4 linked regions of the Caenorhabditis elegans genome follow. The protein of the gene in region 3 purifies or fractionates together with the protein of the main gene of each other region. This does not show direct contact. Each region holds a gene or a part of one and is shown on either strand. Other genes may lie near its edges.

What was found.
Region 1: the proteins of fkb-4 (region 3) and dbn-1 fractionate together in Caenorhabditis elegans (co-fractionation; one large-scale study listed by BioGRID). This does not show direct contact.
Region 2: the proteins of fkb-4 (region 3) and uroc-1 fractionate together in Caenorhabditis elegans (co-fractionation; one large-scale study listed by BioGRID). This does not show direct contact.
Region 4: the proteins of fkb-4 (region 3) and Y106G6E.4 fractionate together in Caenorhabditis elegans (co-fractionation; one large-scale study listed by BioGRID). This does not show direct contact.

The regions. Positions count from the first base shown.
Region 1 is NC_003281.10:13,758,264-13,763,956, reverse strand, and holds dbn-1 (DreBriN 1/DreBriN-like (where Drebrin is from Developmentally REgulated BRaIN protein) family homolog), read left to right. Parts: upstream 1-1,887; coding exon 1,888-2,026; intron 2,027-2,075; coding exon 2,076-2,188; intron 2,189-2,505; coding exon 2,506-2,807; intron 2,808-2,866; coding exon 2,867-3,076; intron 3,077-3,121; coding exon 3,122-3,720; intron 3,721-3,767; coding exon 3,768-4,336; 3' UTR 4,337-4,513; downstream 4,514-5,693. Other genes in the region: toca-2 (Transducer of Cdc42-dependent actin assembly protein 2 homolog), read right to left, coding at 4,609-4,672, 4,716-4,890, 4,974-5,103, 5,548-5,598, 5,647-5,693.
Region 2 is NC_003282.8:16,536,622-16,544,996, reverse strand, and holds the start of uroc-1 (putative urocanate hydratase), read left to right. Parts: upstream 1-2,247; 5' UTR 2,248-2,290; intron 2,291-2,629; exon of another isoform or gene 2,630-2,650; intron 2,651-2,673; 5' UTR 2,674-2,674; coding exon 2,675-2,800; intron 2,801-3,078; exon of another isoform or gene 3,079-3,103; intron 3,104-3,543; exon of another isoform or gene 3,544-3,570; intron 3,571-3,600; coding exon 3,601-3,872; intron 3,873-3,918; coding exon 3,919-4,060; intron 4,061-4,106; coding exon 4,107-4,235; intron 4,236-4,239; exon of another isoform or gene 4,240-4,260; intron 4,261-4,271; exon of another isoform or gene 4,272-4,292; intron 4,293-4,588; exon of another isoform or gene 4,589-4,609; intron 4,610-4,839; exon of another isoform or gene 4,840-4,860; intron 4,861-5,226; exon of another isoform or gene 5,227-5,247; intron 5,248-5,546; exon of another isoform or gene 5,547-5,567; intron 5,568-5,627; coding exon 5,628-5,920; intron 5,921-5,987; exon of another isoform or gene 5,988-6,008; intron 6,009-6,191; coding exon 6,192-6,533; intron 6,534-6,585; coding exon 6,586-6,707; intron 6,708-6,787; exon of another isoform or gene 6,788-6,808; intron 6,809-6,912; and 10 more.
Region 3 is NC_003283.11:12,784,515-12,789,322, reverse strand, and holds fkb-4 (peptidylprolyl isomerase), read left to right. Parts: upstream 1-2,196; 5' UTR 2,197-2,323; coding exon 2,324-2,404; intron 2,405-2,557; coding exon 2,558-2,823; intron 2,824-2,924; coding exon 2,925-3,177; intron 3,178-3,873; coding exon 3,874-4,053; 3' UTR 4,054-4,170; downstream 4,171-4,808. Other genes in the region: srbc-43 (Serpentine Receptor, class BC (Class B-like)), read left to right, coding at 1-126; srbc-44 (Serpentine Receptor, class BC (Class B-like)), read left to right, coding at 772-955, 1,124-1,479, 1,523-1,615, 1,656-1,757, 1,896-2,054; sre-20 (Serpentine Receptor, class E (Epsilon)), read left to right, coding at 4,459-4,477.
Region 4 is NC_003279.8:10,220,604-10,224,680, forward strand, and holds Y106G6E.4 (putative 5-formyltetrahydrofolate cyclo-ligase), read right to left. Parts: upstream 2,176-4,077; coding exon 1,936-2,175; intron 1,616-1,935; coding exon 1,483-1,615; intron 1,435-1,482; coding exon 1,187-1,434; 3' UTR 1,039-1,186; downstream 1-1,038. Other genes in the region: ced-12 (Cell death abnormality protein 12), read right to left, coding at 2,370-2,511, 2,591-2,828, 2,880-3,106, 3,152-3,502, 3,549-4,077. UniProt on the Caenorhabditis elegans protein: Contributes to tetrahydrofolate metabolism. Helps regulate carbon flow through the folate-dependent one-carbon metabolic network that supplies carbon for the biosynthesis of purines, thymidine and amino acids.

The sequences.
Region 1 (5,693 bases), on a different chromosome or scaffold from region 3:
GGAAGAGAGAGAAGTGTGTCGAATGGCTTTTTCTCTGTATTTTTGCCCTAACACACGGTTTCTGTTTGCTTTTCGGACAGCCAAGAGGAAGAGATTCTATGTTTTCACTTTGTTCATTTTATGTAAATATCGTTTTTCTCTACCCAGCGCGCGAAACATCCTGCCTCAATTTTTTTTTGAAATTTCGATTCACCAACTATTTTTTAATCAACCTGATGGAACAATTCATTCCCCCAAAAATGATCAGAATGACTCAGTTCACAAATGCGCAAACAAACAGTCGCAAGTAGAGAAGTCATCAAGAGATTAGTCATTCTGCAGAAAATCCCAAAATTTACTGCTTTAACCCTTTGACTGTGAGACAGTATGAAAAGCGAAGAGATTTAGGGTCACCTAGAAGGAAAAGTTTTTAGTAAAGACCTACACACACGAACAATTAAATATACCACTACTACTACATACTTCTTGTGTCCGACTTCATACGAGTGAGAGACGACAGCCATTAAGGGCGGTCGTATGTTCCACTGAGCGCTCTGAACTGCTGCGTCTTAACGGACAGCCTCACTATTTCCCTTACTATCTTACTGCCGCCCTGAACTGGCCCAACACACACAAACACAATCAAAAGTGACTCACACACATCTTGGGGCCAATGTTTCTTTTTGATTAGTGTTATTAATATGTTTTCTATCCCTTTCAATTTCGTTTTCAAATAGATGAGTACATATGTAGAAAATCTAAAAAATGTGTTGAAATTAATCATCTATGCCGTTTTTCAATGTGAAAACCTATTTTTATTTAGATTTTAACCTGCAGATCGTTTAAAATGTTTTCATGAAAGCTTAAACCACCTTCAAACGCTCCAAATTTTAGATTTATTTTTTGAATTTCTAGCAGTACTGTTGACATTCTTTCTTGAACATTTGAATATTCTTTCTTCTGTTTTTTTTAGATCAGAAATATCTGTAAATATAAAATTTTAAGCGATGAATTACAGCTTTAGTTTTTTCTGTTTCAAAACAATTTAAATAATTTGAAACGAAACAAATTTCCTCCAAACTCAATTTTTCGCTTAAAATTAACCAGAAAGTGAAAATATTGCCATAATTAAAAATAATAAATTTGAAGCCGCTCAACTACCGTAACTTCAAAGGCACATGACTTTAAAAATCTATTCGTGGCGAGACCCATCCTCTTTTAACCTGATTTCTGAAAGTTTATTTGTTTCTCTTTTCCATCAAATTTTGTATCTTTGCATTGAAAATAATTGGGTATTTTCGCAAATTTTTGTCGGTCAGCCTATTAGTTTTCCATTTTTAATCGCAACGATCAGACCATAGAATCCGGAGTTTTTCATGCAAAAATGTGTGAGACACGCACGCGGAGACTCGACCGCGAGAAGATTAAGCTTTGATTCCAATTCAATCTCGCCTACCGGAAAAAAAAAACATCTCTCGAGACATTTCTTTAGTTTTCTGGAGGGTCTCTGCCTACCGCTGGCGCGGGAACGAGAGATGTTTGCTGGCGGCTACGCCCGTTCCGTTCTCTCATTTCCTGGTCAACTACCGAAAATGGTCTTTTAAACGATTTTTTACTTGAGATTCTTTATATTAACCCATAAATTTCTCGGCCTTAATTGAAAATTACCTCGTGACTCGATCAAATCGAGAAAAATGCACACCTTTGTGGCAAATTTGCCATATGTTGCGAAACATAGTGTGATTAATGGAGTACCATAGAGAAATAAGTTCTGCGTAGAAAGAAAATAAAAAAATGATAAGGAGACCATTCGGAGGCTTTTTATCGCGTCACTATTACAATTTTCCCTCGATTTTAGCTTAATAATTACAATATAGGTCGTCGAACCCTATATTGTATGTGTTCCAGATGACTCTCAACTATCATGCACACGGCAAGGAGATTGAAGCGTCGTATCGGCGTGCCAGTGATGACTCAGATGGCGATAAATGGGTGATTTTCGATTATGAAGGAAATTCGAACACATTACGAGTCAAAGAAGAAGGAAGTAAGTTCAGATTTCGTTGCTTTCCCTCCTAAAAATCTATTTATTTCAGCTGGTGGTCTTGAGGAGTTCGCCGACAGTTTCAGCTCGGGAAAGCTCCAGTTTGGTGTGATTTCGGTGCGACTGAGCAGTGATGTCTTCCCGAAAATCGTTTTGGTGCATTGGGTATGGAGTTTACGGCTAAATTGAAAGGAAAACGAAAATCGAAAAAATTCGTGATTACTAGGTCTTAAAAGTTGAATATTAACAAAAATCATGTCAATTTGCTTGCATTCCATGTTCCTCTCAAAAGATAACGCTATTGTGAGATTTTTTGCTGAAAATTTTTTTTAAAAATCCATTTGTAAAACAAAAACTGTAGTTTTTTCCAAAAATTCTTTGTCAGTTATGGTTTCAAATATTTTTAGAGATGTATCGAGATTTGTATACTTTTAAACACGAAGTTCCAGGAAAAAAACCATTTTAATGTTTGAATATTGCAGCAAGGCGAAGGAGTCCCCACACTGCGTTTGGCCTCAACGACACCGCACGCTGAAGAGTTCCGTAGATTCTTGAAAACAGTTCACATTGTGCTCCATGCCAGATCGGAAATCGACATCGAGCCGGACGCGATTCGAAAAGAGGTGCGAAAGCTCCCGGCGGCGAACGCCAACGCCATCGTCGAATCCACGTACAGCATGCCGGAGAAGGTGAATTCGGTGTACCAGCCGACGAATGCACACTCGGAGCTCAGCTCGGAGGCTCGCGAGAACTTCTGGAGCACAACAAATCAAGAGGAGAAGAGGTACTGTCTACATGAAATCGTGTCCTGAAAATCAAGTAATCACCTCTAAGAAGTTTCAGACGACAAGCCGACGAGAAAGTGGCTCATGCGAAACAGCAAAAGCAGTATGAAGCTGACCGTGATCGCACGGCCGCGGCAATTCACACAAAAGCCGAAGATTTCCAGCCGGAGAAGGTTAACTCGGTGTACAAGCCGACGAAGCCCCACGTTGAGCTGAAGACGGTCAAACGGGAGGAGTTTTGGAGCAAGATGAACGAGGAGGAGAAGCTGTGGGTGTTTTGAGTAATTTATTGAAATAGAATTCGCAATTTTAGGCGTCAAGAAGAAGAAAAAACCGCTCGTGAACAAGCACACAAGCAGTTCGAAGCGGATCGACAGCGAATGGCCTCGGAAATTCACTCCAAAACAGAAAACTATCAACCGGATAAGGTCACATCGGTGTACAAGCCAACAAAACCGCACGTGGAGATCAGTTCATCAGCTCGCGAAGAGTTCTGGAGCAAGATGAACGAGGAGGAGCAGCGGCGGCAAGCGGAGGAAAAAGAGGCACAGGCCCAGAAGCAGAAGGAATTCGAGACGGATCGAAAACGGATTGCGGATGATCTTCACGGGAAGGCTCAAATTAGTGATAAGCCCGTGCCATCTTCGGTGAATCCAGCTCCAGCTCCCGCCCCCACTCCGAGCGCAGGTCTCGTTGGAAGCAGAAAAGAATTATTCAGCTCAAAACCTTCCGGTCCAGTGCTTCCGAAGCCTCAAGTGAATGGATCGCCTAAGAAGTGGCCGCCAGTTGGCACGACCTCTCCGCCCCGTGAACCCGTTAACCGACTCACTGAGCCAGATGAGCCTTCGACGTATACGCCAAAGCCAATAGCTTATGAGCCAGAGCCAATGGTTTACAAGCCCGAGGCTATGAGTCAGTTTTCGTATAAAGTTTATTAGTCCTAATTTGAATATTTTCAGAACCTGCCGTCTCTTACGATGCATACGAAGAGCCACCAGCAGAGCCAGCTCCACCTACATTCCTTGCTCCAACCCCGGTCATTGCTCCACCTCCACCTGAGCCAACTCCAGCTCCATCGCATTACGCCTCCCAGTACGATGCTCCACCGGTTCACGAGTCTTTCGAACCAGCTGTACCTCCAGTTTCAGCTCCTTCCCACTATGCGTCTCAGTATGATGCTCCGCCGGAGCCGATCGACTCTCACTCATCGAGCTCTCAACTGCCAGCTCACATCGCCTCACAGTATGACATGCCTCCAGTGATGCCAGAGGAGCCCGTGTTTGCACCGAAATCCTCGCCAATAAAAGTCGCTGCTCCACCAATTGATCAGTACGATTTCCCGCCGGCGGTCGCCGAGCAGAACGCGATGGCTCTCTGGGACTACCAGGCTGCAGATGACACGGAGATCTCATTTGATCCTGATGACATTATCACAGATATCGATCAAGTCGATAGCGGATGGTGGAAAGGACGTGCGCCCAGCGGCCGCGTAGGCCTTTTTCCCGCTAATTATGTGAAGCTGATTTAATTTGTCTAGATAGCCTAACCGTTCTTTTTTACTAATTTATTGTGCAATGTTTTTTTCCCATTTTAAACTCAACAATCCGCGGTGCCTCCCATTCTCCCACTTCCTGTAATTTATTATACCATTACTTTTTATGTGCATTTTCTCCGTAAATGGCAATATGAATCGAAAATCGAAGAATCTGTTTTTATAATCAATTATTTCATTCACAGGACGATAATAAGCGCAGTCTCGAGTACAATATTGATGATGATAATGCTATTTAATTTATGAAATCACTGGGGGAATTGCAAATACGAAGTTGGCACGAATCCTGACTCTTCGTTGTGTTTCCTGCAACTTTCATTTTATTTACTTGGTAATTCTTTGTTACTTGTATTACTTTTTGGTTCGAGTCCATCCATCTCCGTGATCGTGTTCGAGTACGAGAAGAATTTCGCCCTGCTCGATGGACATGGTCTCCGCGGAGGATTTGGCAAATTCGAACAGTGCGGTTACCGTAACCGCTGTCTCGACTTTAACTGAATCGGGAGTCGATAAAGATTTGCGAATGGCACCTGCAAAAAATTTATACTTATATTTAACTATTTTTTCTTTTATAAAAGCTTTTAAAAGGAAAAAAATGGATTTTTAATTTAACCTGAAAATGAGGATCTGAGAATCTTTGGTGATGAGATTTCGGCTCTTCGTCGTAGTGGCGTCGGAGTTGAAGACTTCGAGGTTTTTGGCGAGGAGATAAGCCGTTTCGGAGTTGTAAACAGTTGGCGGAGCTGAAAAACGCACAGTGGGTCTCTAAACGAACAATCAATTATTTTTTATTGCGCCAAAAGTACGGTATTTCGACACGACAAATTTGTACTAAACGCGAAAAGGTGTACGTATTGAAGAATACTGTAATTTCAAATTCTCGTATTATCGGTTTTTGACTATGTCCTCTAATTTTTTTTGGTATTCAACGCTGAAATAGCCAAATTATTTTTTAATTTAAAGTGTTTCAGACAAAAAACCAAAAAATAAATTGGGAAAAATAAATGCACCGTTCTTCTCGGAGAGTACACGAGATGCGTAAATCGACACATAGCGGTGTTGCAACAACATGTTAGAAGTTTGCTTTAACGGTAATTCTTATATTTTTAAGTATAAGGAAGTTTTAAAATTGAGTAAGACTTCAGTAATTTGTTTTTTTTCCTGAAAAACAACTTTTGGCTGCTTACGATATTCTTCGACGAGTCATCTGCTGATGAAGAATTTCCCGCTTCGCCAGACTGCAAAATACGATAATTTTCAGGAAAAACCGAACAGTTTAGTGATACCAGCACGTCTTCGATAGTTTTGGATGATGATTGATTTGTCGAACTGC
Region 2 (8,375 bases), on a different chromosome or scaffold from region 3:
ACTAGTTGAAACGGTTTTTTAAGTTTACAGTCTCACAGACAGTTTCAGCTGAATTCGCGATTCTGAGCTTGGTTTTCATTTCAAAATTCAATTTTTATTATTAGGGTTCATTCTGTTTTTTCGGGCAAAAAGGAGTTTTTCAAAAAATTGTATTTTGTAGTCGTAAAAATTAATTTAAAAGTTATAATTTTTTTTGGGTTCAGAGCTCAAAAAAAGTTTTTTTTGCCGTAATGAACTAAACGGAAAAAGTCTTAAAAACTTTTATAAAAGCTAGTTGAAACCTTAAAAAACGGTGCAAGAATTGAAAAAAAAAACTAATTTCATAGTTAAGATAGAAGTCGGGTTAGCAACCGAACAAAAAAAAGAAATTTCTTGTACATAAGCTGAAACGGTAATTTAATTTTTTTTTATTTTTAGGATGTTCCCGATGAAACATAATTTAGTGGAGCTCCGTCATGTTCTGGTAGTCCAGCAACATACCTAAAGTATTTTTTGTATTGTTTTTTGTTTTTGGACGAATTTTAATTTTCAGTCGGGGAGTTTAAAACAAAATTCGTAGTTTTTTTTTTTGGTTCTTTTACTAAGATTTTTACTAAATCAAAAACAAATGCCATTTTTATAAAAACTAATTGAAACTGTCAAATTGTAAAAATCTGTTTTTTTTTTCAAACATTGTGATTTAATTACAAACTTGCAGTGCCGTTTACATTCCATATTTGGATTGGATTAGAATTGGATCTTCCATAATAGGTAGGCGCGGTTTCAGGGACCTGACGCCTGCCTCGAATCGCATTTTTACGTTTTTTTCTCATTTCAATAATTTTGTTGAAAATCAAATTAAGATATGAAAAAACAAATAGTTCGTGTATGTTTTAGAATAAGGCGCGTATTGAGGCAAGAGGCAGGCGGAGATCGCCTTAAGGTCAGGCAGGTGGGAATTTGAACGCCTTCATGGAAACCTTAGTTTTTGTAATTAACAAGACATTTTGTAATTTACAGCAAATATCAGAAAAAGATTAATGAGAAATAAGAATGTTCACTAGTACATAGCAGCTAGTTGAAACTGCGATTTTATTTTATAGTCTCACGTTCAATTTGAGCCAAATTTGCGATTCTGAGCTTGAAGTAAAAATTGTGCAGGTGGTTTGGGTATACCGTGAGACTATCCAATAAATTTACAGTTTCAGCGTGTTGTACATAAGAACACGCTGAAACTGTAATTTAATTGGATAGTCTCACGGTCAATTTGACCCGTGTTTCGGGTGTTCCCGTAAGAAACATAATTTTCTAGAGCTCTATCTTGTACTGGAGCTCCTCAGAATCCTGGTGGTCCAGCAGCACACCTGGAGGACTAAAGTGCTGAACTGTTCTCTTAAATGTTCTGTTTTTTTTCGGGCCAAAAACCAAAAGAAAACTATATTTCAAAAAAAAAACTTTTTTATTTTTATTTTTGATCAAAAACTTTTTTTGGTAAGACCTTCCTCCTGTATTTTTTTTCAATTTCAAAAATTCTGCAAGAATTCAAAATGTTGTAATTTTAGTCGCTTCAGTGAGGAAATATAAAACTGCATCTACATAGCAACTAGCTGAAACTGTAATTTTTTATTTCATAGCCTCACGGTTAATTTCCACTAAATTCGCGTTAAATCCAATGTTCTATTTTATAATTTTTTATGGATGCTTTAAGCAAAATTTGGTATTTCTTTTCGAAATTCTTCGGACCAAAAAACAAACAAAAAACAGAAAAAACTGTTTTTCCAAAGATTTTAATTCGTTTTACAGTTTTAACTTACAAATGTGATGTAGGTAGTAAGCAACAAATAAATTGCAGTTTTATAACAACTAGTTGAAACGGTCAAATTTATAAGCTCTGAAAGTTGTGTTTCCAATAAAACTCTTAATATATATCACCGATTTATAACAACTAGCGGAAACAGTAACTAAAAAATTAATTTTATAAATAATTTTAAAGTCCCAATGTTCTATTTTCGAATTCTACCCAATCGCGAGATTCTGCATTCAGATCTTATCATCTTTCTCTTCCAAATACACACACACACACCTTGAAACTAACCAATAAAAATGCAATCATCCGACCGTTTCGTCGTCGTCAAGGATCGTAACCTGGAACCAGAAGACGAGAATCATCAAAACAGAGAATTTTATGGCGGTGATCTATTGGGCGGGAAGGAACATACCACGTGGGAGAAGGGGGAGGAGAAGTCGAACATTCACGAGAAATCTTTCATTGCTGATCAGAATAAGTTCGGTTTTGTTGGCAAATTTTGAGGTTAGTTTTTTGATGAGTGCCGAAATTTTACCGAAATTTGGAATTCGGCAATTGTCAATTTTATGAACTATACCAATAAATTGTATTAAAACTTCTAGAATGCTCTAGAAAAATCTGGAAACTACTAGAATTTTCTAGAACAAAACTGGAAACTTCTAGAAATTTCCAGAGAAATCTATAAACTTCTGTAATTTTCTAGAAAAATGTGGGAACTTTAAGAATTTTTTAGAAAAATCTGGTAACTTCTAGAATTTTCTAGAAATTTTTTTTTAAATTTTATTTTTTAAAAATTACTGTTTCATCACATTGAGAAAATGTTTTTACTGTTGATTTTTCTAATTTCGTATACTGTTGACTCGGTTTGTGAAGACTCAATTTTCCAGCATGAACATCCCATCTCTCTTCGTCGACCCATTCTCTCCGCTCCTCGAGCATCCAACGGAGCAACGTGCCAAGAATGTGGCTCACGCACCAAAGCGTCCGTGTAATCTTACACAGACAGAGAAAATGGTAATAAATTTATCTTTGAAAAGATAAAAAAAATGTACTGTTTCATTAAAAACGTTTAGGCACTTGACTTGGAATTTTTTCTTTTCAAATGAATTTTTTGAAACTGCAAAAACAGTTTCATTGTTTCATTGAGCGCTTTAAAGAAGACTGTGAAACATAATCTTTGACAAGTTGGCTGAAAATGAGCCTAAACTAACAAATTTTTTAGAAAAATTTGGCTAAACTCTGAAATTTTTTGCCTAGTTTTTAATAAAATTAGCTTTTTTTTGTTGCATCAAGAAGTTTAAATGCTACACTGACTAACTAATAGAACTTTTTACAAATTGAAATGCAATATTTGGAACAGTGAACATTTTTACCTTTAATTTTTCAAATCTACTCCTAATTATGGTAAACTATTTGCAATGAGATCAATGTTATAATTTATTGTTCCGACATCTCCCGGGTTGCACAGTGTTCTCTGTGCTCGGCGCAATTTGGGAGATACCAATTAATTGAATGAAGTTGTTGTGCCAATTCTAGTTCAGAAAAAAGTAAGAGAAGACTGTAACAAAATTTACAATTTTTTTGCAATTTTGGAGCAGTTTTTGAAGTCGGTAGGCTATGTAGTTTTCGAGATCAAGAACAATCAAGAAGATCAAGAATCAGATCAAATTTTAATTTAGGAGCTGAAAAGCTGTTGGCTATTAGTTACAAAAGTCTGTTTCACTTACTTGATAAAATACAAGTGGAATTCCAAAATTTATTGTTTCGAACTTCAATGCAGGTCCCAACCAGCTTCAACTATAAAATTCTTCCAGCTCGCCGTCCGCAATGCTCTCCGCTACATTCCAAAAGAGCATCACGTCCTTCTAGCCACCGAGTTCGCTGAAGAGCTCAACACCTATGGACACATCTATGGGTATCGGTTCATGCCAAACTTTGATCTATTCGCGCCGCCCGTCTCGGAGATCGGAGCTCATTGCGAACAAGCATCGGCTATCATTTTGATGATTCTAAACAATTTGGACAAGCGGGTTGCCCAGTTTCCACAGGAATTGGTGACTTATGGAGGAAATGGTCAAGTTTTTAGGTTAGCATGGGAATCTTTCTGAAATGCTTGAGAAATGATATTTCAGCAATTGGATCCAATTCCGTCTGGTTCTTCGTTACCTCTACACAATGACTGACCATCAAACTTTGGTGCTCTATTCCGGACACCCATTGGGCCTATTTCCATCAACCCCGGACTCGCCAAGAATGACTGTTACTAATGGAATGGTAGGCCTTTGGAAACTAGGATGCTTCGTACATTTTGACATTTCAGATGATCCCGAGCTACTCGACAAAGGAGCTGTACGACAAGTATTTTGCATTAGGAGTGACGCAGTACGGACAAATGACTGCTGGAAGTTTCTGTTATATTGGACCACAGGGAATTGTACACGGGACTACGGTAAGCCGTTAAATGGAGTTTGGCATTAAAACACCGTATTACCGTCAAATTTAATGAACACACTAAAACAGTCAAATTTATTTTGGAAAATGGGCAAAGCAGAAGGTTTTCAGTATACAACGGTTTTAGATGGAATTTCAAAGGCAAAAATTCAAGGATTTCAAGATTTTTGTTTTTTTTTCTGAATATGATTCTTGTCATTTATATAATCCAAACTGCACCAATGTAGTAGAGAAGTGACTCAAAGAAAACATGTTATTTCTAATAACTAACTCAGCCCTAAAATATACGGACACTGTGAAACATTAAATTTTTGTAAATTTTATTTTTTTTTTTAAATAGTTATATAATGAACCAAAGCTGAAGTTTTGGCATTAAACACCTTATTACTGCCAGAATATATGAACACACTGAAACAGTAAATTTTATTCTGGGATATGGGCTACACAGAAGGTTTTCAGTATACAACGGTTTCAGATAGTATTTGAATGATTTTTGTTAAGTTTTTGTGTATTATTCTAGTTATTTTATAATCCAAACTCCACCAAAGTAGTAGAGAAGTGGCGTCAAGAAAACTTGATATATTGCTTTAATTTATAGCGGTGTTCTCTTGAAAACCTTCCTAATAGCTAACTCTCTAAGTCCTAAAATATGTAGACACAATGAAACAATAAATTTCTGAAATTTGTAATTTTTTTTTCAAGAGTTACATAATGAACCAAAGCTGATAATATTTTGTCCCACTGAAAAAATTTACTTACTTCAACTAACCACAGTATTTATTAAAGAGTGATAATTTAACAAAAATTTAGTTCCAGACACTTAGAAGATGACAAAATTTTTGATTTTAGCTGAAAATGAGACCTTTTTTATCAGAACTTTGAACCGCCATAACTTTTTTTTTTGAGAAATTTTCAAAATGTCTCGTTACGAAATTCAGTAGTTTTTGGGGAATCTTGGGTCGGAAAAAGCAAAATCTCAGATTTCGGTACTCCACCTTAAATAGAGTCGAATAGCTATCTTACAAAGCCCTAAAATATGTAGAAACTGTGAAAAAATAAATTTTTGTAAATTTTATTTTTATTTTTTCAGTAGTTACATAATGAACCAGAACTGATAACATTTTTTTTTAATTTGAATTTCGTAATTTTCTTAAGGTTTTTCAAAATTGACTTATTAGAAGCAGAAAGTTGAAAGTCTTTTCACTTTATAATATTTTAAAGAAATCTAAATGATTCGAGACCAGATGCAACAGATTACAGCTTTTCTACCCATATAGAAAAATAGTGACGTCACTATATGAGTTTTTCTCGATCTATTCTTCTTGTCCGATTAATTTCATCACAACTCTCCTGAATTTCTGAACCCCCTGAAACAGTAAAAATTCTCCAGATCACAGTCCTCAACGCTGGTCGTCGTATGGGACTGGATTCCCTTGCTGGTAAGGTTTTCGTAACTGCAGGACTTGGAGGAATGAGTGGAGCTCAACCAAAAGCAGCTAAGATTGCTGGATGTATTGGAGTTATTGCGGAAATTAGTGATACTGCATTGTTGAAACGTCATCAACAGGGATGGTTGGATGTATATTCGAAGGATCTTGAGGAAATTGTGAATTGGATTAAAGAGTACAGAGAGAAAAAAGAGGCAATTAGTATTGGATATTTGGGGAATGTTGTTGACTTGTGGTGAGTTTTAGAAAATTTTACTGTTTCAGAAAGTTGTTAAATTTTTTTATGAAAGTGTGAAAGGCGATCTACGGAGCAAGAGGGAAAATAATTAAAGGAAACGAGAAAAGCGGAAAAAATTGTAATACAAATAATATATCTCATAGTTTCGGAACCAAGATTTTTTTTAAATTACAGAATTTTTTACAAAGATTTTTCACAATTAATAAACTTGGTAAAACATTATTCACAAAAATTCTAGACAAAAAACTATGAGTTTTCAAAATTCCAGGGAACGGCTCGCCGAGGAACCGGAATGTCTTGTAGAACTGGGAAGTGACCAAACTTCTCTCCACAATCCATTCCTTGGAGGTTTTTACCCTGCTGGACTCACTTTTGAACAATCCAATCAAATGATGACTTCTGATCCTGTAAAATTCAAAAAACTTGTTCAAAACTCTTTAATCCGCCAAATCGCCGCCATCGACAAGATTGCTGCAAAGGGAATGTACTTCTGGGATTACGGTAATGCTTTCCTTTTGGAATGCCAGAGAGCTGGAGCCAATTTGCTCAGAGAGGATGCTCAGGATGATAAATCGTTTAGATATCCAAGTTATATGCAGGATATTATGGGGTAATAATTATTTGAAAAGAGTACAATTTAAATAAAATAAATTCTGTTTCAGAGACATCTTTTCAATGGGATTTGGACCATTCCGATGGGTTTGTACTTCTGGAAAGCCGGAAGATTTGAGATTGACTGATCAGACAGCATGCAAGATTATTGATGAGTTGAAGGATACTGATGGTGAGTGCTTTTATGTTGTAACAAAAAAATCGACTGTTTCACTATGGCTATATGTATGTTCACTATTTTGAGAAATTTGATGGGTTCAGTGTGTGTATCTTTGAAATTTAGTACTAATCTCATAAAATTGAGCATTTGTTGGCGAGAAATCATATATATGCTGTTTCATATTGTCCATAAAACTGCCGACGAATTTTGACTTTAATTTTTAATATTTGTTAGGAAATTTAGGGATGTGAAGCTGTTGAAAAAAAAAAAGAAAAACGAATAGCCAGTGTAATATTCTTGAAACCGTAAATAACTACTAAATAAAATAGCGTACTGTTTCGAGAAGTTTATATAATTTTCGCTTTTTGAAAGAGGTTATTCCGGAAATATTGCTAAAAAAAAGCAGAAAACTTCTACAATTTCGCATAGTCATTAAAGTATGTTCGATTATTTTATTTTATTAATTTTGCTGAATTAAAAAATAACATATTAAAGGTGGAGTACCGAAATTAGTGACTCTGTTTTCTTAGACCAAAATGAGTCCAAACCTACCGAATTTTGTAATGAGACGTTCTGAAAATTTCTCAAAAAAAAAAGTTATGACGGTTCAAAGTTTTAGAAAATAAGGCCCATTTTCAGCTAAAATCAAAATTTTTTCCAACTTCTCGGTGTCGCAACGTCTGGAATTGAATTTTCATTTATTCATCACTTTTTAATAAATATTGTGGTCATTGATTGGGCGTTTATTCGTTGATTTAACTACATTTATGGTCTTTGGGGCACAAATAAAAGTTACATTTTGTGCCTCACTGACCATAAATGTACTTAAATCAACGAATAAACGCCCAATCAAAGGCCACATTATTTATTAAAAAGAGATGAATAAATAAAAATTCAATTCCAAACGTTGCAACACCGAGAAATTAGATAAAATTTCGATTTTAGCTGAAAATGGGCCTTATTTTCTAAAACTTTGAACCTTCATAACTTTTTTTAAAGAAATTTTCAGAACGTCTCATCACAAAATTCGGTAGTTTTGGGCTCATTTTGTTCTAAAAAAACAGAGTCTCTAATTTCGGTACTCCACCTTTAAGAGTAGAAACATGTAGTTTTAGGGGAACTCATCAGGTTATTTATCAAATTTATGCTTGGAAAAGTTGAAAGTCTACCGAAAATGTCTTTTCCGCTGAAAAAAATTAACATCGTTCCCGGAAACCCGGGATATGTCGTACCATGATGAACAATTCACAAAGTGTCGACCGCAAAGCAAGTATACCAAAACGAGAGATAGGAGATGCGGTTTGAAAACAAGTTGAATTTGAGAATTTTTCACTGTTTCCAACTTTGCATTTTAATTTGTAACGTATTGTATTAGACAATTTGTAAAAAATTATGTTTTTTATTATCTTCAAAATACTATGATCCTGAATGAATTATTTGAAATGGGTACCCTTAACTTTAACAAATATTCGCTCTTAAAAATTCTGAGAAAATTTGCAAAAAATCACCACGTCTTCTTCTTGAATGGGTACCACTGAAAATTAATTGGGTTGTTATTTTTATTCCGAAATATACTCACACTGCTGCCAAGTTTTGAAACTTTCTGTTTCTAGCAGAGACATTGATTTTTTCATTTTGAGAACCAAAAATCGAATCATTATTTTTTGCTAGTTTAATAAG
Region 3 (4,808 bases):
TTTATTGATGCTGTAATTGCAGCTATCGTGTTGAAAATACCATCAAAAATAAATTCTATAAAGAGTGTAAATCCGCGTAGTGGAATCACTTCCGACCGACATGGATCAAGCCGAACTCAATTTTAAATCATTCCTTTGTGGATGTGGATAAATTACTGAAAATTGTAATGCATACTTAATATTTTTGGTATCTGAGGATAAACAAGAAAAATTGGTAAACCGTAAAAAAATATTTAAACCGGTTCAAAATTTGAAAATCCACCCAAATTCTATGCTTCCTATGTACATATGAATGTATATATTTTTATTTTTGCGTTAACATAATATTTCTGCTACAAAATGCACGGATGTTCTTTATACGGGTGTCCATATACAGAACTACAGAACATAACATGTCAAATTTTCGCCAATGATTTTGAAGTTTCCGAAAATTGCCGAAAATGACAACTGAGAACCCGGAAAAACTTTCAACTGTTGCTTGGAAATGGTAGTACTGGAAACTGCGTTGTGTCCATCATTTTGATAATGGAGTAATTTTTTGTGAGATTATACTACATTTTTCCAAACTTCATCATATTAATCATCACTAAGAATCTCAGTACATATAATTGGTTTTCGGTTTCTAATCTGATTAGGAAGTTTTTGTGCACATCAGTGATCTTACAGTTCAGTTCACTTCGATCTCCTCGTTTTGCTTTCTCTGAGCGGAAATTTGGCATACTTCATAAGACTGACAAGTTTCTAGTCTTTGGCATTTTTTTTTCTCTTCTAATGTCTTACGAATTCAAACACAAGGCATTTTCGGTCAGCTCGGCAGGAATCACAGCGTCGATATTTGTTGTGGTTTTGAACATTAGACTTCTGTGGAAGTTTCAAAACTCTCCAATTAGGAAGAAACCGGAATATCATTTATACCAAATACGATTTTTTGTTGATATATGTTATTCAATCGCAGGTAATGTTTAATAGATTTTGGAAAATGCAATAAATTCTCACCCAGTGGGTGTCGCAGGCATAAAATTAATTCCTCTTTAAATCTATGTCTGATAGTATAGAGGCTCATATGATCAGGATAGTGCAAACCCTCAAAATGTCGAAAACGAAAAATCTTACATGGTTACAGTTAGTATATACTATGTTGCCTTGGATATATCTTACCTCTCTCCATTCTTTCTATTTCACTACAAGATATTGTTTGTCGTGACATTATTATCCTCAAACATCCTGTCCACCAGATTTTTCCTAGCTGCTCTGATTTCGATAGAAAGATTAATTGCAGTATTTTTGCCTGTTCAGTTTCATAATAATCGTCAAAAACTACCTGTTTTTATATTTTTCACTATGTTACTTTTATGGGGAATGTTTGAAGACGTTATGTATTTTTGGATCTGTGATATTTCTCCATTCATAAAAGATTGCTCAGTTCTGGGATGCACTTATAATGATTGCTTTTTGCAATACTGGACTGGTAGTAAATTGGTGTGAGTTTTAATTGTATTTATTTTCAATTAATACTTTTCAGGTAATTGGAGGATTCACTTGCTTAAGCTCTTTGGTTCTCTTTTTCAAACTTTTGGCATTGAAAAAAACCATGAATATTGTCAATTTATCAAAGGTAGGCAAATTTAGCCTTTAGTAATTAATACTTTTTTCAGACAAATTACTTATGTATTGGTGATTCATGTTTGACTCTTCTATTTGACTTTACGCCATTTCTTTTGACGCTTGTTCTCAGAACACAACTTTATTCTGCAGACGTAAGTGGAATTATTTTGAAAACTGTTTTGCTCAAACATTTTTTACAAAAGGCTTTGAAATTATTAGGTTTAAATAATTTGAGAAGTTTATAAACATTATAGTAATGACTTAGAAGAGCTGATAAATTATAATTTCAGATCTATGGGCCTTACAATGCTACTGCAAAAAGTACTGCATGCTTTATCGATGCCATGATTGCAACTTGGGTCTTGAAAAAACCATTAAAACCAACTCAAATTAGACAAATAAATTCACTGAAAAGAATTTCCGACCGACATGGATCTAGTAGAACATAACTTATAAATTTTAATTGTCAGATCATTTTCCCTCTTCTCTTGTTTTACTTCCCTTACGCGAAAAGCTTGCTAAACGATTCTTGTAAGCGAGATAGTACGAGACGCAAGCACAAAAGAAGGACACTATGCGATAGATACTGCTGTTGCCGTGTTGGCCTTCGATCAGTGTAAGAAAATAGAAAACGCAGTCGTAGACGCATTTGTAACCGCTCATCCACTTAGACTAATTCCACTCCCCAAAAACATTTATTTCTATTACTAAAAATCAAATGAAGTTTTTATATCGAACCACTTGTTTCCTGATTATTGTATTTTCATCGACAGTTTTTGCAAACGATAAGAGCTGGAAGGTATATTATTTAACAAATTGGAATTTTTCATTTAGCTTGACTTCGTGAAATATATCATAAAAACAATTGGAAGTACAGTTTCCAAACTATAAACGATATTAGGAAATTTAAAAAAAAACCACTTCTTCTTGAACAAACTATTCAATCGTTCAGGAAGATGACGGATTAGAAATAACGATAACATCGTCAATAGATGAGAGCGAATGCGAGATCAAATCCGCAGGTGGCGATGTAGTTGATCAGTACTACAAGTTGACAGATGAGAAGGGAGTTGAAATTGGAAGCAATTTTGGAAAGAAACCATATACATTCACGTTGGGAAGGAATCAAGTGATACCTGGAATGGATAGAGCTATGCGAGGAATGTGTATTGGAGAGATTCGAAAAGTTGTGATTCCCCCGAAACTAGGATTTGCGAAGTAAGCAAGGGATTATATTATTATTAGTTTCCTAAGGATAATTTGTTCCTGAGAAGTTTGATCATTGAAACCATACATGAAGTTTTTTTTTATAATTACAGAGACTCGACTGGTCAGCCACTCTATTACACTGTCCAGCTGGTGAACCTGTTCCGTGCGAATCCTGGGGAGAGATGGGTCACTGAAGAAGGAATTCAAATTGATCAGATTCACAAGATTGAAGCAGACAAATGTAAAAAAGCTGAAGCTGGCGACAAGATTTATCAGCAATATGTTTTGAGATTAGAAGATAACACACTTGTGGACTCATCTTATTCAAGAAATGCTCCGTTTGTATTTAGATTGAGAAACAGAGTAAGTTTTTTCAGTTATTAAAAAACCAACCGCATATAGGTAAATGAAATTTAATGAGAAAAAAAATCATCACAGATTTTTTTTGACACTCAATTTAATAAAATAAAATTTCTCTCCCGGCCACTTTTTGCCCAATTTACCAAACCTTGGACGAAAGTTTGTTTGAAGTTGGGCCAGATTTTGGATTTGTATTTTGAGTTAGAGTATTCGAAGTTTTGTCAGATTTTGGCAAAAATTGGTTTAAACATTTTTAAAACTTTGGTTTACTCTTTGAGTACCTATTAGAAGTTGATGTATGTAATATATGGTGTATGTAAATCCCGAGAATGTACGTTTTCATTTTTAATCTCATAACTGTCTGATGAAAATGTGGTTTGAGCTAGGTGTTATGTGGTTTATAAAAATTAAAGAAACTGGTTGTTACATTGGTTAATGAAATCTTATTTCACCTGTCATGTGAAATTTACAATTTTTTTACGTAGGGAGCAAATTACAAAACCCAATGAAAATTATGCTTAATTCTTTGTTTGAATTTTTTTATTAATATTATTCTTGTTTATTTGATCTTCAAAATTGAAATATTCTGATGATCTAGAAAAAAAAACATGAAAATATATATATCATGAAATTTTGGCGCAATATTATATGATCGGAAAAATTTTTTGTGGCAAAGTACATAATACAATATAATTTTAGGAAGTTATCGATGGAATGGATATTGCAATGGATGGAATGTGTGAAGGAGAACGACGTCGTGTTGTGATTCCATCTGAATATGGATACGGATCCCAAGGATCCCCACCAGAGATTCCCGGTGGTGCTCGTCTTTTCTTCGAAATTGTTCTAGAAAAGCTTGTTAAAAGAGATGAACTTTAGAGTGATTTCAGATGTTTTTTGTTTGATTAATTATTGAAAAGGACTTCCTGTTTCCGTTGAACGTTCTCTGTTAATGTTACATATGTACGTGTTTGTGCCATAAAAATTTCTTGATTTCTCGTAGATTTTTTCAAAAAACCAGCTGCAACGATTATCCGAAGCAAGCTTCTGTAGCCATCGGCTCTCATAAAGTCGGAGAGCAGCTGAAATTGAATTGAAAGACCAACCAACATCACTTCGTCATAAGTTTTCAGAAAGTGGGGAGTGTCGGCTGACTACTGCCAGTGTTAACCTACAATTTTCTTTTGATTTGTAATTGAGCTACAAAATTGTTAGAAAGACATTTAAATTTGAAGCTGTCGGTGCGAAATTTTCATTTTCATGTCAGAAGAGATATTGGTAACAATGCCCCATTCAACAGTGTGTAAGTTTTTTTTAATAAAGTGACATTTTTTCCTGCACGTTCCGGGAACTTGTGAATTTGACGTTCAAATTTAAATCATAAAATGTAGCGAAAATGTTTATTGGTGTACCTTTAAAGAACGTAACTCGCCTTGAAAGTGCTCATGTTGTACTAAAGAAGTTAATCTTGTCACAATTAAAAACTGTTACAGTAAAATAGGTATAGGTATCTGTTGAGAAATATGATGCCGTTCCCGTAAAGAATCAGGTGAATTTTTTGCGTTGAGTCATTTACTGTAAACAGTTTTTTTTTCAACTGAAGCAAACCACGCATCAAAATGTTTTATTGTTTC
Region 4 (4,077 bases), on a different chromosome or scaffold from region 3:
CAGCGAGAAAACTGACAATGTCAACTTCTACTTTGGAATCTGAAAAGGAGGAATTGAACAGTGTTGAGATGGTTTTGGCGGAAGAGATCAAGAAGGAGGAAAAGGAACCTGAAAAACCATTGATTAATGAGACAATGTCAGAAGATAGAAGTGTTGCATGTGGAAATAAAAGTGATTCAAAGGAACTAAAAGAAATGGCATCTCCAGATAAGGAAAAGAAAAAAGAAGACTCGAAAGCAGAGCAAGAATTCGTCCTCGATGAAACCAATCCACATTTTGCTTTTCTTCTTGCTGGAGAAAACAGAGATCCTGCTCAATCAGTTCTTCACGCAAAAAATGCATTTGAACACTCGAATGGATTCATGTGGACAATGAAGAAGAGATTGGCTTTTGATGAAGGTTGCTGGAAACACTTGAGCCGTAGAATTGGAGCTATTAGAGCAGAGGTATGTAGAGTATATGATATATGATAATGTTCCACCTTTCAAGCTTTCCAGGGATTCGAAGTCAGAGTGACCACTCGTCAAGCAAGGGAGAAAAAGCAAAGGTATGTTGATCATGATAACCTTTTTGAAATAATAATATTTGCAGTGCGGATCGGGAGACCAAAATTGACCTCGTGTTCAACAAGTTTGAGAGTGAACAATGATTACTATGTATTGACTTTAAATGAATATTTTTGTTCAGTTTCGTGTAGTTGCTCTTCATGTAAATTACAGGGCTTCTATCATATATCGATTTAACTACATCAGTCCTCATCTCGGTCTATCTGAACTGTGTGATATTAGTGAAACCATTGAATGTATCTAATTTTTGCTAATTAATGTCTTCAGGCCTTTGAATCCTTTCGTTTTGTGTGAGCAAGTTTTCAGATATATTTACAGGCTTTTGGGACAATGCTATGCAGTTCTATGGGGCATTTCAGAACATCTCCACAAGTTTTCGTGGTGGGACCTAAAATTGAAACACCTCGGAAGGCTAGAATGCTTCTAACTAATGACTGAATAATCTATGAAAAAATTATATATAACTGTAGTTCAAAAAAGTTTATTCAGTTAACAAATGCAAGAAATTGTATCACAAAACCATTTGAGGAATGTCTGAAAAATCACTTATAAATTGGCGAGAGAAATTTAAAAAAAAATCTCAATATCACAATCGGGAATATTATTTAGAGTGTGAAGCCTTAAATAGTATCAAAAATAATAGTTTCTCCTTCATAGATAACCTCATCAAGTTCAACATCAGTTTCAGAAATAGGAATTGTACCAATAATTTGCTCACGAAGAGCCAATCCTATCTTTTTTGGGGAGTTTTCTGGAAAATGTTTGTGATGAGTGGAGAAGAAGCGATCGTAATATCCTTTTCCATGACCACAACGAAGTCCATATGGTGAGAAGGCAACGCCGGGTGCAAGGATCAAATCCAGTGGTCCTGTAAGTACTTATAAATTGGAGTTATATTATTAAAAAGCAGTCACACCTGTTTCATGATAGCTTTGCCATTTCCATTTCGGTTCTGGCTGTCTGATTCCCCAAAGTGTTGAAGGAAGATTGTCAAAAGCAGTTTGATCCGGAACTCGAACCATATCCATTGCAGTTGAGCCCTTCGTGAACTGAAATTTTTACATTTGTGACTTCAATAAATTATACTTGCTGTACGTGCCTGTCTCCCTGGATTCATATATAATATCTGCCTAGGTACTAATTGCCTGCCTACTACAAACGATTACAGCCTTCATGTCTAGGGGCCTACTTTACGCCTACCTCGCAAGTGCCTTAGTTCTGCCTGGCTACGTGCCTGCCTGCCTTTATTCATAGCTCATATCTGCCTACTTCTTGTCGGCCTACCTGCTTTATTTCTGCCTGCCTATGTGCCTACCTACATGCCTACATCTTAACATCTATTGCGCATCTGTTTCAAAATAAATTTTACCTGTGGAATGAAAACTTCTTTTCCCATTTCCAACGCTTTTTGAATAATCGAATCAGTTTGTATTTCTCCCGATGTACTAACATAAACTGACAATCTCTTGCTCTCTTGAAACCATTTCGATTCAATTATTTTTTCAAAAACCGCCTCTGTTTGACGTTGAGTTTCTTCTTTCGAAATTTTTCCGAGCAATGTCTTCATAAACTGCCTGAGCTCTGATTTTACCTCTTTTATAGCACTCATCTGAAAATGTTGGTCAAAAATTTGTTTTCAAGAGATTCAGAAAACTGTTAGTGGCCTGTAGTTAATGGCTCGTTATTCAAATTAAGTTAAATACACAGTAATAGGCATAAATTACAAAATTTATTATGCACATGGAAATGTTTTGCCTTTCAATATGGTAAAATGCACGTAAGAATGATAAAGCTTGAATATGATTAAAACTTTGAAATAAAGCTTTTGATATCGTCAGGGATCGGTGGAATTTCTGGTTTCTCCTCGGGGTTCGTGAGTTTCACATTGAGAAGGCGAACTCGTAGCTCCATTTTCAGCATTCGTTCAACCATTGCATCGGTTTCACTGAAAATATTTCAATTGGTATTTTCGGGGCTTCCTATTCTTCAGGTTACTGTAACTACAGTAACCAATGTCTAGATACCTTTTAACTGCCTTGCTCCCAATCAATTCAGCAAGACCTTCAAGCCATATAACAGATTGAGTTTCATCGGATGTCAATGCCATTAAAACTTCGCCTTCTTTCATATCATTTGTTGTTTTTAATTGTACACGAATCCCTCTTAACATTTGTGTAGATGGAGAAGAAGTGAATCGAGATGAGCTTGCTTTTCTATCAATCTCATCATTATTTGTTACATCAGCAATATCTTTGATCCAAACTGAAAATAAATTAATTTATTATTTGAGAACTAATTCAATATTCCCCCAACCTTGCCGAATATCATCTCTCTGCACACCTTCCACATAGTTCTCACCATCACATCCAGTTATAGTGAGCATTTTCTCCGATGCATCGAGCTTCCAATGCCAGAAGGCGAGCTTTGCGAGGGATTTACTTTTCTGTGGTTTTCGAAAAACGGCGCCTAACTTCAAATAGTTTAGATGATTTATTCGAACCAATTCCTCCATTTTTGGCCGCAATTTCGATTTTAGTTGTCTGAAAATATGTATACGAATAAGTTATTGGAATTTTCAGACTTACATCACAGCTTCACTATGTAATTGAATATTTTCCTTTCCCAATTGTTCCTCTCTCCAAATTTCTTGCATTGCCCTATACGAAAAAGTCTCCAAATCCGCAGATAGTTCTTCTACATCTTGTATTTCCCGTCTTTTCAGCACATGCCGTAACTGTTCCAGTACAACACACGCAACTTTCTCCATTTCACCTCCTTTTGCCTGCATCTCACGCCATGTTCGATGGAAAAGGTGTACAATACATGCGAATACAGCTGGAAATGGAGTCTCCGTGGAAAAGAGAACTACAATCAAACGATCCAACTCATCACGACCAGGTATTACTCTGAACAATTCTGCGGCAATGTCACAGCACCTGAATTTAAAAAATCATCAGAACATCTTTACGTTTGCAAAAAAACCTCATCCACATTGGAATCAGTTGCCATTTTCCTCCTTCAATCCTCATTGTATTCTCCGAAATTAGCATTCTCAGATCTTGCGGACTTTTTTCTGCAAATTGAACCATCGAAATTGCAGCCAACCGTCCACATCGGTGTTCCCCAATTTGTGATTTCCACATTTCTCTGATCTCCTCGGAAACATCCTCACTGGATTCAATATCAAGAATTTTCTGAACTTCAGCATCAGTAGGAGGTGAAGTTTCATATGCACTAATCAGACTCCTTTGAACCTCAACAAGTTGTTCAATAGCATTCAGATTTCGAACACCACCACCACCACGTAGAAGAGAACTGTGTACAGCATTACGGAATGGAACGACTTCTAAAGATTTAATAAGTTCAAATCGTTTTTCATCATCAGGACATCTTCTTATCATTGAATTCATTAGTGAAAGTGCACAAAGAGCAATTCGTTCATCTGATTTTTCAACGTGTCGAATGAGAGTCTCTATTGGAACTTCTTCGAGAATCCAATCACGAGTTGTAT